Linked DNA regions of Arabidopsis thaliana. The protein of the gene in region 2 interacts with the protein of the main gene of each other region in a pairwise test. Each region holds a gene or a part of one and is shown on either strand. Other genes may lie near its edges.

The links. The genes of interacting proteins can lie anywhere in the genome.
Region 1: the proteins of AT5G57170 (region 2) and PHR2 interact in a two-hybrid assay, tested with the Arabidopsis thaliana proteins (one large-scale study listed by BioGRID).

What each region holds. Positions count from the first base shown.
Region 1 is NC_003071.7:19,517,981-19,526,230, reverse strand, and holds PHR2 (photolyase/blue-light receptor 2), read right to left. Parts: upstream 4,458-8,250; 5' UTR 4,344-4,457; coding exon 3,390-4,343; intron 3,078-3,389; coding exon 2,836-3,077; intron 2,742-2,835; coding exon 2,676-2,741; intron 2,581-2,675; coding exon 2,499-2,580; 3' UTR 2,136-2,498; downstream 1-2,135. Other genes in the region: MHX (magnesium/proton exchanger), read left to right, coding at 1-55, 147-265, 357-529, 678-793, 912-1,128, 1,216-1,345, 1,416-1,713; spliceosomal protein U1A, read right to left, coding at 7,545-7,835, 7,948-8,045, 8,244-8,250.
Region 2 is NC_003076.8:23,161,571-23,169,026, forward strand, and holds AT5G57170 (Tautomerase/MIF superfamily protein), read right to left. Parts: upstream 1,695-7,456; 5' UTR 1,571-1,694; coding exon 1,460-1,570; intron 1,096-1,459; coding exon 856-1,095; 3' UTR 667-855; coding exon of another isoform or gene 631-666; 3' UTR 501-630; downstream 1-500. Other genes in the region: ATLIG4 (DNA ligase IV), read right to left, coding at 1-118; CIA2 (chloroplast import apparatus 2), read left to right, coding at 6,823-7,456.

The DNA.
Region 1 (8,250 bases), on a different chromosome or scaffold from region 2:
AGTTGAGCTCGTATGGTCTTTTTGGGCTTACATCTGGCTATACATAATCCTCGAGGTAACTGTGAAAAGCGGTTTAAACAGATTCTGTTGAGTCTATACTCTATACTGATAAGGTCTAAAAATCTGTTTCTTTTCACGTCTCACAGGTGTGGTCACCAAACGTAATTACACTTGTGGAGGCATTATTGACAGTACTGCAATACGGATTGCTTCTAGTTCATGCGTACGCCCAAGACAAGCGATGGCCTTACTTGTCTTTACCAATGTGGGTTTCTTTTCCAGACAATAATATTAGTTCCTTCAAAATGGATTTCTACTAAAGATTGTATCTTTGTGTTTGTATTTGATACTTGCAGGTCAAGAGGTGATAGGCCAGAGGAGTGGGTTCCAGAGGAGATTGATACATCCAAAGATGACAATGACAATGATGTTCATGATGTGTATTCGGATGCTGCTCAAGATGCTGTTGAATCGGGAAGCAGAAACATTGTTGATATCTTCTCTATTCATTCAGCTAACAATGATACAGGTACTAAGTATGATTAGGCTGTCTATTCTATTGATATAAGATCAGTTTTAGCGTATTTGCTTATTTCCAAATCTATGTGATTCCCATATTTATCTCTGGTAGTATATTGTTATAAATCAAACTTTCCCTGTAACAAACACTTTTGCAGGGATCACTTATCATACTGTGGCAGATACTCCACCCGATTCTGCGACTAAGAAGGGTAAGGCGAAGAATTCTACTGTTTTTGACATTTGGAAACATCAATTCGTGGATGCAATAACGGTAAAAATCTTCAACTTACCAAGTGTTTTCTAGATTCTTCTATATCCTATTTTGGGCTTTTGATCATTATCAACACATCTTTCTTAACTTGTTTCTCTTCCTATTCGTAATCAAACAGTTGGAAACATCAGAATCAAAGAAAGTGGATAGCATTTATCTTCGAATCGCGAAATCTTTCTGGCATTTACTCCTCGCCCCTTGGAAACTGCTTTTTGCATTTGTGCCCCCCTGCAACATTGCTCACGGTTGGATCGCTTTCATCTGCTCTCTCCTCTTCATCAGTGGAGTAGCCTTTGTTGTCACAAGATTTACTGACCTTATAAGCTGTGTCACTGGTACACACCCTCACCGCTTTCAAAAACTGAAGTTATAAGATTAAACATTTGAGCTCTAAAACATTAGAAACTCTTTTCATCTTGCAGGAATAAACCCATATGTGATAGCATTCACAGCACTCGCAAGTGGAACTTCATGGCCAGACTTAGTAGCAAGTAAAATCGCTGCAGAGCGACAACTAACCGCAGATTCAGCTATTGCAAACATCACCTGCAGGTAAAAATCTCAAAACCCTTTACAAACATTGAAGATCTTTTCATGATCTTTTTGGTGATAAATTATGCAGTAACTCGGTGAACATCTATGTGGGGATTGGAGTTCCGTGGCTGATAAACACAGTCTACAACTACTTTGCATACAGAGAGCCTTTATACATAGAAAACGCTAAAGGATTAAGCTTTTCGCTTCTGATATTCTTTGCGACATCAGTGGGATGTATCGTGGTGCTTGTGTTGAGAAGGTTGATTATAGGAGCTGAGCTTGGAGGTCCAAGGCTATGGGCTTGGCTTACTTCTGCCTATTTCATGATGCTTTGGGTCGTCTTCGTTGTTCTTTCTTCTTTGAAAGTTTCAGGCGTCATATAGAAGAAGCAACAAAAGGAAAAACCCCATGAGTAGAAGAAAAAGTCTTAGCTTACTTGCACATGTCTCAGTTTTTGTTTTTCTTACTTGTTAAGGGGGTTTTATATAATTATCAAAGTTCAAAGGCAGTTGGCTAAATATGTGTTGCAAATATAAATCATATTGACTATGATTTTGGAGGCTTCATCTCTAGTTAGGAGGTGCATATATGGAGTACATTTTCATTATCCTGCAGTTTTTTTTGTTTTTTTATTTGCAGTGTTACCAATTTGTGGTACATATATGCAAACTTTCTCTAAAGTCAAGCAAATAATCTTAGTCGATTAATATAAACTTTTATATGTAACTTTCATCCAAGTAACTAGTGTTTAGTACGGTTCTTTAATAAGTGTTGTAGAATTTCTAATGCCCATTTACCACGAAGTGCATATTCTAGTTGCTGCTTGCTTCTGATATTAGTGACATCTTAATATTCCTGAATTTAATATTCATAGACACAACTACTTCGGTTATTTTCTAAGATACATTCTCAAGTCTTAACCACAAAGGAGAGCGTCTCAAATTGTAGAGACTTTTTATGGAATGAGTATCCGAAATGTTTAGAACAGGGAACGGACAACTTGATTGAGCCAAAAAAAGAAGCTTAGATTTTATTCTCCTGACACTCAAGTTTCAAAAGAGAGCAGTAAAGTCCTGTCCGGATAGCAAATTAATCCACCATACACCAGAGTAGGGCAAAGAAACAGGTCGCTTCTAACTTTTCCGGTCACCTGAAAGTTTTCAAATGTTTAAGCAAAGGCACCGGTACAGGCTGTAGCCGGACCAGCCTCGACCTGCGTCTTCGCTGAGCTGTATTTCTTGGTTATAAACCTGTTCCAAGTTTAAACACACATCAAAGAGAGAATCAGACAAAATACAAATTCTACATTTCTACTAGGGGGCAAGTTAAGAAAGTAAGAGCTCACCTGAAGAAATCCCTCCATAGCAACTCATACATTAACCAGTTGAGTCCTGTATCTCCCGGTCCGTTCCTGAGAAAATCATTTCAAAGAATGATAATTAGACACATACACTTACTATGTTCACCAGAGTTTCCTGAAGTGTTTTGCGTTTCTGAGACATTACCTTGGAGTTGTGGAGGTGGTTGATGCGGAGATTGTTTTCTTCAGCTCATCGAACATGGAACGAGGAGAGATGCTTCCCATGGCTAACCAAGGTGATATCTTGCAAGAGAAGTTTGCACCAAAGACACTGTTGTTGCCTCCTTTCTGGTTTCCCTTGCTCAACCGAGCCTGACAATCCGCGGCAAAGCTCTTTAGTCTAGTCAACGCCTCTGTCTCTCCTCCAACCATTGTCGGTTTCCCCTCCTGAGCAGAACAAAATGTTAACTCCTAAGAGAAGGTGTAAGACAGTAAGAGCCGCAGACGAATATTGGACCTAAAGAGAAACGTTCATTGATCCTAAGAAGAATCCATGGACCTTCAAACAGCACTACTACTATTAACACTTGATAGTACTTATCCCTATCACTCTATGGGTAAGTAGCTCTTCTCCTATAGAAATGGAACCAATTGGCAGAGTTTGAATTATAAGTCCCACAAGTTTCCACCTTTTCTAAATGCCTAAACCTAGATGGATAAAGGAATCAATCAAGCTAAGCAAAGATGAAGAACTCAAACCTGGCTAGTCCTAGGAGTGGGGCTAATGCCAAGATCCAGGAGAGAAGGAATATCGCCAAGCTCAACGTCTCCTCGAGAGGGCAAGCTTTTCAATTGATCAAGCGCTGCGATAGTCTTCCTAATCTCCAATTTCTGGACTTTATCCTTGAAAGCTCCGTAATTTGACGGCAAGTCTTCAATTTTGAAGGGCAAATCATCCAAATGATAGAGAGTGCTTCCCCAGAAATACTTGACTTCAACGCCTTCCTCCTTCATCGCGGTCTCTATCTTCCCTTCCGCTTTAACCTCGTCGTGAGACACTTCTCTGTGAGCATAAACCGCGTCAGCTCCAATCTCCTTAGCCAATTCCACCAAAACAGCTTCAGGTTTCCCGACACGGACAACTAGATTCGACCCTCTGGCTTGGAGATTCTTCCGGAGCTCCGAAACGGACTCAATCAGAAACTGGGCACGAAAAGGCCCCGTTTTGTCGAAGCCGGAAGAGGACTTGCCGTAATCTCTAGGGTCGAAGCAGTAAACGGGCAAAACGGAGACGCACTCGTCGTTGGCGGAGTTGAGACACTCGTTGTCGTGGACACGGAGGTCATTGCGGAACCAGACGACAGCAGCACGGCGGAGAGCGGCGGCGGAGGAAGGATCAACGGGACGACGAGGGACGATGGAGAGAGGGGATTGAAGAGGGTTAGCAGCGATGGTGGATTTGAAAGAGATTCTGGAAGAAGGAAAAGGAGAGACAGAAGAAAGAGAGAGATGAGTGAGAGAAGAAGCCTGCGTAGGGATCTTAACCTTGTTTGGATGATGAGCAAACAATTTGAGAAATTGAGTCGAGGATGGGAACAAGGTCAGAGAAAGAGATGCGATTGGTAGAGAAGAATGGAAAATGGCAAGTGGGTTTTGTTCTTCTGCGGATTTTGTTTCTGGGTTTAGGTTTTCTTCAACATTCGAAGAATCCATTTTGTGTGTGTGTGTGTGTGTGTGTGTAGAGAGAAGAGAGTGAAGAAGAGTGTGAGATGAATTGATAAGCTCTCGTCGATTTTCCCCACACAATTTCTTCTGTTTAGATCAAATATTTTAATAAAATGTATTTAAAATATATCGTAGCACTGTTATTTTATTTTCAACTTTAGAAATATTGATTGATTTTTTTCTATTATAAACACTACTAATGAAGGAAAAAAATACGAATTTTCTTAACATTTTTAAATCCTATTATAGTTCTGAACAGTTTTATTGAAATATATTTTGTCAATTAATATAAAATTTGAAATTAAAATTTTTGAATAATAAATTTATTTAAAATCATAAAGGTCTCAATTATAAGTTTCCTATGTTTTATCATTTTGCCATTTTTACACATATAAAAAAAGATTTATAAAAATGAAGATAAAACTAACATTATTGTAAAACCAGAATAAAAATTGAAAATGACAAAATTAGAGATTAAAGTAGCTAAAGTACAGTTTCTGATCTTCAAACAAGTGATTAATTCGATCTTACATATCATGGGACTCTCCATATATTCGTTCCATTTTGTGTATATGAACCTCTGATCAATGCGTTACATATGCTGCAAAAACCATCACAAAAGCTAAATGTATAACTCTGTAGGTAATTTGAAACGAATAACGGTCCATGCAGTGAAGTATACAACCACAAGTTCGAAAACACTCTCGTAATTAATGCAAGCCAAAGAGCTCAATGAGAACTATATATGGCGAAGACAGAGCTTGAAATTACCCTTTTAGTTTCATGTGCATTGTGCACCGTCAATCCCATCTAGAAACGCTACATTTTGGTCAGCACACAATAAGGTTCAAAATAACCAAAGCAACACTTACATATATGAGAACTATAAAGATTTAATCAACCGTCGAACACAAATGATTTAACACACATATACACACAAACAACGAAGAGCTAGTCAAGAACAACGAAAAACACATTATCAATAAGGTTTAAGGGATATATAACATCAATGGGTGAAGAGCTCATGTTGGAGAAGTTAAGTACGTGCAAATAAGCAAATGAGACGGATTTCGTGTTTGTTGGTTTGCACGTGCCCTGCTTCTCCAACATGGAGATTCTCACCCGCATTTCCAAGCACATGAGGGGCGTTTGTAGTATGAGAACTTTGGTTATGGAAAGGTTTGTATATATAGGCCCAAAGATTGCATTAATGGAAGACTAGCTCACACGCACATCCGTATATGTTATGTGTGTGTGTGTGTGTGCTGGCGTGAGTGTGTTTTACGTAAGGCAAAAGAACCATACCATGCCATGATGGCATCTCACGCAAAAGAAGGGTTGAACTAAAAAAGTGAGAGAGTGAAGAGAGCTAAACGATCGCTAGCTAGGGCCAAACAATACCTTGTCTAATAACTGCTAAGTTTTGAAAGCTTTTTTTTATTCCATATTACTGTTTTTTTAGTGTGGGGGCTTGTCTGCCCTAAATTTCACAAACTCTACATATATAAGTGCTAGGTTGCTAGGCGTACCATATTGTCTTATTGCTAGGATCCTATGAAGCCGGTCACGCGTTGACAAGCAAGACCTTAGACCTCTCTTACGACTAATCTTTAGCTAGCATCTACTCTATGGCATGGTAAAAAAATACAGTATCCATATTCTTTCACTTCATTAGAATGAATTACCGGTATATACCAAAATAAACTGGATATCCACTAGTTCCTCACTAATAATAATCTACACTTAACTTTGTTTCAGTTTATATTGAAACTCTTCAAATTCAAATATTGATATACATTATACGATATATATATATATATATATATATCTGTAAATTTTCTACTACATAAATGATTTTTTTTTTTCCTCTATCGATCGATATGTATGTATATCATGATGATAAATGCCGAAGCATAAAAGAACCATTTGAATTAATAACATACATGTGCGTGAGAGAGAAGGGTCAAAAGGGCAAGGTGGGTCGTCAAAGACTGTTGGGGGCAAAAGAAGAGAGGAATAATGAAAGAGTGCACGTAGGGCTTTGCGTGTTGTCCTAACTTTCTCTAACATGGAAAAAAAAAAGGTCCCTATGTTGATACCATTCCTCCCTCTTTCATTAGTTGATTGTGTATATTATATATATGGTCTATGATTAATGTATAATCCTCCTCAGTCCACACATGGACTCAGGATAGGTAAATATGATCTCTAGATTAATGGTCTTACTATAGCTAGTTAAATTGTTATATAGTAATTGAAGATGCTAGCAAGTGATCCATTAATGTTTAAAGTGGTGATTCATTGGACATATACATAATGACCCATTAATGTTTTACTACTAAGTACTAAGATAAGCTAGTAAGCAAGAGCTGAGATACAGAATAACACTAATTAGGCAGTGTGTGTCACACAGACCAGAGAGGCAGAGATGAATCAGCAACAAATCTTTTGTCTTGTAAAAAGAGGAGACAGAGTCAGACAATGAAGTCATCACCAAATCTATAAACACATGCATTAATGCTTTTACGTGTCCGTATCACACTCGTGTTTCCCACTAAATGCTCACTCATTTATTGAACCATCGTCTAATTAATGCTTTTGATAACTTAAATGCATGGAGGAGTGTCCTTCGCCCAATATTTCAAAAAAAGGAGAGAGCTCACTCAATTCTCTTGACGCACGAGTTTTGGACCTAATAATCGCTGACCTCATCAGCAACAAAGAAAAACAGCTACACTACAAAGACTTTTCTTTCACCAATCCAACATCAAATAATGATTGCTTCTTGTTTCTCTTTTATTAGATATCCAAGAATTCGTAAATAAAAAAGAACAAACCAATCATCCATAAACCTTTAGTTTAAAGTTCACTTTGCGAGTTTTTTACTTTAATTCATTATAGTTTCGTTTAATCAGTCAAATTAAAGGTCTTCAGTTATCTGATCAAATATGGAAGAAGAGGCTTATCCATAAGTGGAAGAAGGTGACGAAATATTAGATAGACAAACACCAAATCGAGACGCTTATTGTCTGGATGAAAAAATTGTAAGTTAGATGATTGTGTAATATTCTAAGCAATTCTACAACAAACACACAAGAAAGACAAGTTTCCTTCTTGCGCAAACCATGGAAGAAGTAACATTGACAGATACAAACATATCTCATCGAAACACAAATAAAACGAAATTGTCTATTTCTTGGCATACGTGATGAGCATCTGGTTTTGCTGAATCTTGAAACCTTGAAGTCCCTGCATTGCGACCGTCGACTGCATCTCATCAGCAAACTCCACAAAGGCGATTCCCGGTTTGGCTTCAATCATTCTAACTTCCTTAAATCCTTGGTACTGGCAGAACAACATCTGAAGCACCATTGGAGTTGTCTCGTGAGGAAGGTTTTGGACAAAGAGAATATTATTTGGCGGAGCTGGTGCCTCGGGCATATTGGGTTTCATACCACCAGGGTATGGTACTTGCGATAGCTGTGAAAAGCGTGGCAATAAGAACGATCATCAGAATACAGGAAAAGAATTAAGAGCGTCCCCCAAACGTATGAATCAAGATTAGAGTTAAGAAGATGTTGAAATAACTCACAGGAGGTGCAGCTCCATAGACACCTGGATATGCTGAGTTCATGGGCATGCCCATCTGTGTAGAATCATGGTGCTGGTCTTTCTTTTTCTTGCCGCCTCCTGCACTTCCAAAGACGATATTTAGATGCGAAAACAAACTGTTTGTAGGTTGTGGAGAAGCAATGTGAATGTGATGTGACTACTAATGATCAAATGCAGAATGTGGGAATGAGAAACAGAGCAATAAATCTCATGTACACATATGCAGTAATGGTCAAAGTGAGCCAATGAAGCAATGAAGTAAAAAAAAAGTGTCACCTTTCTC
Region 2 (7,456 bases):
GTTTGCAGTAAGTGTCGAGAAACTTGCGGAATTTGGATCGTTTCTGAGATGAGGTTTTGCTTTTTTGAATCCAGTTAAAGAGAGATACCAGTACGCTGAATTTGATCTCCTCCGTCATCTTACTTTGCCGGAATTATAGATTCTTCCGGAGAAGATGGTTAATCAGGGAAATAGTGACGGAGAATCACTGAGCAGCGGCGTGAATTGCTTGCCGGAGAAGGAAGTCGCGTTTGAAAAGTTGCACGGCCGGTTTTGGTAAGACCTGCCAAGTTACAGTGACTCGGTCTTCTCTCCCAGTAACTATTTATTCTATATTACACATTTGTCCTGTAACTTAATTAATCAATCAATTCAGTCCAATGTGTACTATATTAATTTAGAAAATCGTCAAAGTGGATTTATGGGCTACAATTTTTTTTTGGGCTGCAGTTTACATTTTTAGTAGTATTGACAAAATTATGAGATCATATCACACAAGTGACAAACTAGGCCCAAAAGCAGTTTAAATACGAAATATATTGGCTTTGAGGGAGGTAAAATTATAAATTATGGTTCAGAATTACAGCTTTTGAAATGAATAAGCAAACAGTTCTAACCCAAATATCATTACAAGGTTGAATTCGCCTCTTTTCAGAAAGTTGATCCATTGTAACCGAAGAAAGGTCGCTGCCAAAGAAAAGCAAAACAAAGAATTTAACTAACATTCTATTCATTGATCAAGTTTATAAGAACTAAAGAACATCGTGCTTTCATCTAAGTGTGTATCCATATATTAATTTATATAGCCCATCATCAGCATCTAGCTTTAATCTAAATCAGCATTCTATATATAAGTTCTTGAGAATGAGATCTTTCTTATGCAAAGCTTTGAATTTGAAGCAAAAGGGGACTTACCGGAGAATCGTAGAATTTGATATAAAAGCGAGAGCTGTCTATGGAGAGCTTAATTTGGAGAATCTCAGATATCGTCTCGCTAAGCTTCCCGTTTACGCCAGGTCCTAATCCCCCAATAGATATCAATTCTCCATATGCAGCAGGTTCCTCGGTACCGGCAAATGCAATGGGCACTCCACTGTTAAGCAGTATCATCACATACTGAAAACAAAGAAGAAAACAGACGTAGCCCACAAGTTAAGACCACAACACAAGCTTAAGAATCCTTTAGTGATATTGTCAACATACTGTATTATTGGTTTCCACAAAGTTCCATGAATTAGTAAATTGGTAATCTAAAGGGAACTCTCAAGAGTTAAGTTATGAGGAATTGCAATTCAGAGAGGAATTCCATCGAACACTTCATGTGCATAATACAACCAACGTCATGAACCTTATCAACAAAAGGAAATTTCTATTCTACTCTGCTTTCATGTAATCAAAACACTAAACAGGAACAAAATTTGAAGTTTTAATTTATGAATTAGCGTAGAAATGGCCGAAACAGAGGGTTAGAGTTGGTTACGGATTCAGGTTTGCCGATGATTTTAGCGACGGCCTTAGTGGCGTCCTTGAGGATGTCTGAGCAAGTGACGGCGTCGACTGGTATGTTAGTGAAGAGATTCAAAGTGGGCATCTTTTTGAAGTTTCTCCTTTTCCCGACAAAACCAAAACCAGTGTCTTTCAGTTTGGATATGGAAGTTGGGATAACGGTAAGAGCAGAACCAAAACCAGTGGCTTACCAGTTCATTTACTTTTATCTTTAAAATTGAAATTAAAAATCGATATAAAATTGGGCAATATAAAGTTATCAAACCGGAATCCCATGGGCCTACAATGCAAATTTCAGCCCAAATGTAAAATATCAATTTTATTTTTTTTACATTTTGGAGGGGACCAATAGAGAGTTATGTTTTTCCTAATTTCGATTTTTTATTTTATTTTGGAATGAGCATGGAGAATCATGCAATCGCATAACTCTTTCACTTTTGTCTTTCCATGCTTATGATAAGCTTTTAACGTTTTTCGGATCCAATGAATGAGTAAGGAACGAGAGAATAAGTGACTATCTAGATAACCATAAGAAAAGAATTTATGATTTCTTTCTAATGACAATTGGCTTGAATTAGTATTAGCATCACTTATACTCGAACAATCAAAATCGGCTTAAAGACAATTGTTGTATAAGCAATCACAATATGTAAGCCCACACTAGCTAAATCCCATTTTCTAAATACTACCAATATTACTAAAACTGTGTTTTTCATTTTTTTTATTTTTTTGTTATTTATGAATCCTGACTCCTGACCTCAAAATTGTATGTGTATATAATGATTTGTATCATAGTATCTTTATTTCATATTTCATTTATTGAAACATAAGACATTAAGTCACAATAAAGTGTATTATAGATTTGTCCGTACATACTCGAAGTATGTTTTTTTTTTTTTCTTACTCTCAATCTATCAATCTAACATTTATCTTTTGAATTGTCTATATTTATCTAGTTAGTTACTTGTCTTATTTGTTTGTTTTCCTTCTTTGGATATCAACAGTTTATCATAAGCATGGAAGGCAATCTATGAAAGAGTTGTGCTATTGCATTATTACCCATGCTGATAATAAAAAAAAAATTAGAATTTGAAATATAGAGCAAGACATAGATAGTTTTAATGGTCCCCTCCAATCTGTAAGAGAAGAAATAGTTCACTTGTTGTTTGTAACTATTTGGGTTACTTACTCTTGAGCCATGACCCATTTGATAAAAATCTATAAGTTCACATTTTCAGATCTGCCTAGTCTCATGTAGATTTTTTTCTTAGCTATAAGTGTTTTCATTTTACTTGGTTTTTCAATATCCAAATGAATGGTTAAATAGGGTTTTATAAGATGAGATATGTTTTCTGTAGAGTTGTTTTTCTTTTTGCTGCCTACAACATGTATTTCATTTTTGTGTATCATCTATGATATATATTCTCGTGTGGTTTATGTTAACTTATAGTATAAGAACAAAAAATGGTAAGACCCATTAGATGTGGCCGAAATAACTACATGGTAAGATAATTGTAAACAAGTTGTCTACAATGTCTGATTGTACAAATGAAATATTTTTGAATTTTATAGGACAGTCAGAATTATGGTATTCGAGGGTTTTAAGTTTTAACATAGCCGCATTCTTTCTAATTACGTATAAAGGTCATCAAGCTGTGAATTATAAACACTGAAAACGACAGCTGAGATATTCTTCAAAATCATTTTTTCTTTTATTTCAACAATTTCTTCTTCTACTATATATAAACAAATAAATGTCACTTTTTTCATTCTTCGTGTTAGTCATGTTATCTAATCCATAATCCTTTTAAAATCCACATAAATAAATACTCAAAATACGACTCACAACAGGGGAGCCACATAGTTTTATCTCTGTAGTCACATATTTTTATCTCTTTAGTCACAGAGTTTTATCTATTTAGTTTTATCTCTCCTTAATGTCCTTGACGTAGCAGTATCCGGGTATAAAGTACATCAATCACACATGCTGCAACGATTGAAATTATTAATGTACTTTTATCCAACAAAACTTTTACGGGAAAATGGTAAAGAATTAGTAAAGAAATGGAAGAGAGGTCACATGTTGACATAAGAATAACATAAGAACAAAACTTACTTTGGAGCAGTGCCATAACAAGGTTTATCCTGTTTTTTCTTGAGGTTCAAATTCCCTCCAGCACAACTTCTTTAGATAAGAAAAATTCTCTACATTTCAAAGTTCTACGAAGATTTTTTTTTGTCTACCGACTTTTCTTGCAAGTTCCTTTTTAATTTAATTTATTTGGGTTTATTTCGTTTTAAGTATATGTAATCACAATGTTTTAATACAATTTCAATTTTGATATAGACGGATGACTCGTGGGTATCATATCTCATATAATGGAATATCTAACATAAAATAAACAAACATATCTAAATAGAAAATCAGATATCTAACCAGGAGTCATTGAACCTAATGAGGTAAACGTAGGTTTAGCTTTCGCCACAAATTACTTCAAATGATCCCAAAAAGGTTCCAATCATTTTTTCTCTCTCACATACACAAATCCACTAGCCCACCACTTTTCTCTTTCCACACTTTTGTTTTTAAACTAAATTAATTATTATTTAATAACTATATTGTAAATACGACAATTTTGTAAGCTTGCTTCTACTAATATAGCCAATTAGCTATAGATATTATATTACGGCCGTTACTTTTCTAATGTTTCTTTTGCAGAAACGTTTGAAAGTTTAACATAAAACTAACCTTGAAAAAGTAAGTCAATGAAAGAAATAAATTTTCAATTATCATGTCTATATATATATCCAAAAAATTATCTAAAATATAGATAAGAAAGTATCAATTTATGCTAATATTTTTTTCCCAAATATGCTAAATTAGTAAATTTGAAAAAAAAAAAAAATCTTACTAATAAAGGGAAATTAGTAAAATAATAAAGTCGGTTTTTTAAGAACACGTGAAAACGTCTCCGACCAGGCGACCATAATCAGTTAATTGAGAAAGCACCACGTCATCAAAGAAATCTAGTAGAGCCAATGGGTATGTGCCACGTCAATGGATAAGGTGACCTTTCCTCGTTTTCTCTTTAAGATCCCAAAAAGATTTTGCAGATTTGGATGATGATGATGTGGTTTTTACATCTTTTTAGAAAATAATCCAAAAACAGAATCACATTTCCCTCCAGTCAAAAAGGATCATTAATGACTATTACTCACTAAACAACCTGGATTAAACTCTTGAGCATCTTTTCTTGGTTAAACTTTATTCAAGAAGAACAGAAATCGGATATCACAACCAAATCAATAAATTAAAACTGAGAAATCTTATTAAAACTATTACTATTATCAAAAATATATATCAAATTTTAAATAAAATCTTCTACAAAACCTGTAAAAAAATATAACTTCGAATTCTATTTAAAATCTAGATATCATAAACTAAAATATAAACCAATATATGGCTTCACTTCTAGCTACAATTAATCAGGGTCGGCTCAAAATAATAAAGGACCCAGAGCTGAAAAAAAAATTAGTTCTCATTTCCTATGTTTTGTTATGTAAATCTTTTTTTTGGATCGTAATTGTATTAGATTTACTTCAAAAAAAAGAGAAATTTTGGGTTGACTCTGTGCCTCGCTCCTCCGGCACATGTGTAGAGCCGGACCTGCAATTAATAGAAACAAAAATTAAACTAATATATGGTGACTCTAAATTGAAACTAAAACTAATAGTGGATAAATTTGTTTAACTCTATACTAGTTTAAAGAGCTGAAATTAAATATTGTGAATGGTAGAACTCGATTTTTGGTATCAACTAAGAAGAAAAATCCTCAACCTCAACTAATATAATACTGCCACAGGCTGGATTAGACAATTGATCGGCGCTACATCATTACTTACCACTTAATCGATGATGTGATTAATATTTTTCAATCATGAGTAATTTCGATAAATCACACTCAAAATATTTATCCCCCTTTCAAATTAATGACTGATCGCTGTTATATTACTTACTCACCACAAGATCGATATGCAAAATAATATCTTAAATTTTTGGGTAAAAATTATTGTGTAACAAGTGGATAATATCAATAAATCAATACATAAAAGATTTACTCAATTTGAATTAATGACTTACTGTCGTTATATTAATGTAATACATAAAAATTTAACTTTAAGAATGAACGATCGTCGCTACATTACATTATTACCAAATCGTCACAAAATTAATATTTTATATTTTGAGTAAATGTTAATGAACAAATAAATTTGTTAAATCAACACATAACAAATTTAATTCAATCGTATTATGACCGATCGTTGCCACAATCATATCGCTTTATTATAGGTTTAACAATTGATTTTTCATTATTTTGTTTTCAATCTCCAAATCATTTCTCAATAACTCTCAAACATTGTTTAAAGCTTTTTTTCTTAATTAACATTATAACAAAAAAATAAATAGAGAAATTTACTTTGATTCAAACACCAGTCATTGTAGATTAGCCAAGAGTTTTCAGTAACAAAATTTACCTTATAAACCTTTTGAATGGCTATTTCTGAAATGGAATAGAAATCTTTAGTCGTGGAAGTATCTCTATCCATAAGAAAACTCGTTTTACAAAGTAATTTTAAATCAATACAAAAAGTGAAAAAATCCACTGGTGGACCCCATTCATTCCAGAATTGCCGATTACGAGCTATCTTGTCCCTTCTTCACCATTCGCTCACTCTCTCTCTCTCTCTCTCGTCTTCTTCTTCCCACCACTCTCTCTGTTTCTCCACAACTTCTCTTCTCAAAGTTAAAATTACCCCTAAACCAAAAAAAAAAAAAACGCTCTTCACTATTTATTTACTAAACTCTCCTTTGTTTGTTACTAAGCTCTCACTAAAACCCTAATCTTTCTCCTCTTATATATCTCGTGACTCTTCTTTCTCCTCCAATCTCTCTCTCCCTCTTCACAAACCAATTAGCTTCTTTCTGTAAAACCTCACTCGTTGGCCAATTCTTTTGGTTTTCATACACATAAATCTCAGATTCCAAATGGGTTTTCTTAGCTCTTTCTTTCAAATGATGAACATTTGTTAGCAGAATCTTCCTCTTTCCCTAAAGTTTTGATCTTTTTTTCCCCCTTCAATTTTGTATTTTCTCACCAAATAAAAAAAGGTTTCTTCAGTGGGTTTTAAGGGTTTATTATTATCTTAAAATTAAACACAATTCTTTAATCAAAAGGCAAAAATCTTAATTTCATCACTCTCTTCTCACTCACAAAAGTTCTTACAATCTTCAAAGTTTTGGTCTTGTTTCTTTTCCGATTTCACCGGACAAAAAAAATGTCGGCGTGTTTAAGCAGCGGAGGAGGAGGAGCAGCAGCATATAGTTTCGAGTTAGAAAAAGTGAAATCACCACCACCATCATCCTCAACAACAACAACAAGAGCTACTTCACCATCATCAACAATCTCCGAATCATCAAATTCACCACTCGCAATCTCAACGAGAAAGCCAAGAACACAACGCAAAAGACCAAACCAGACTTACAACGAAGCAGCTACTCTTCTCTCTACTGCTTATCCCAACATCTTCTCCTCAAACTTGTCCTCTAAGCAAAAAACTCACTCTTCATCAAACTCTCACTTCTACGGGCCATTGCTTAGTGACAACGACGACGCTTCTGATTTGCTTCTTCCTTATGAATCAATCGAAGAACCTGATTTTCTGTTTCATCCAACGATTCAAACGAAAACAGAGTTTTTCTCAGACCAGAAGGAAGTTAACTCCGGTGGAGATTGCTACGGTGGTGAAATCGAAAAGTTTGATTTCTCCGACGAATTCGATGCTGAATCGATTCTCGATGAGGATATTGAAGAAGGAATCGATAGTATAATGGGGACTGTGGTGGAATCGAATTCAAATTCGGGGATTTATGAATCTAGGGTTCCGGGAATGATCAATCGCGGTGGAAGAA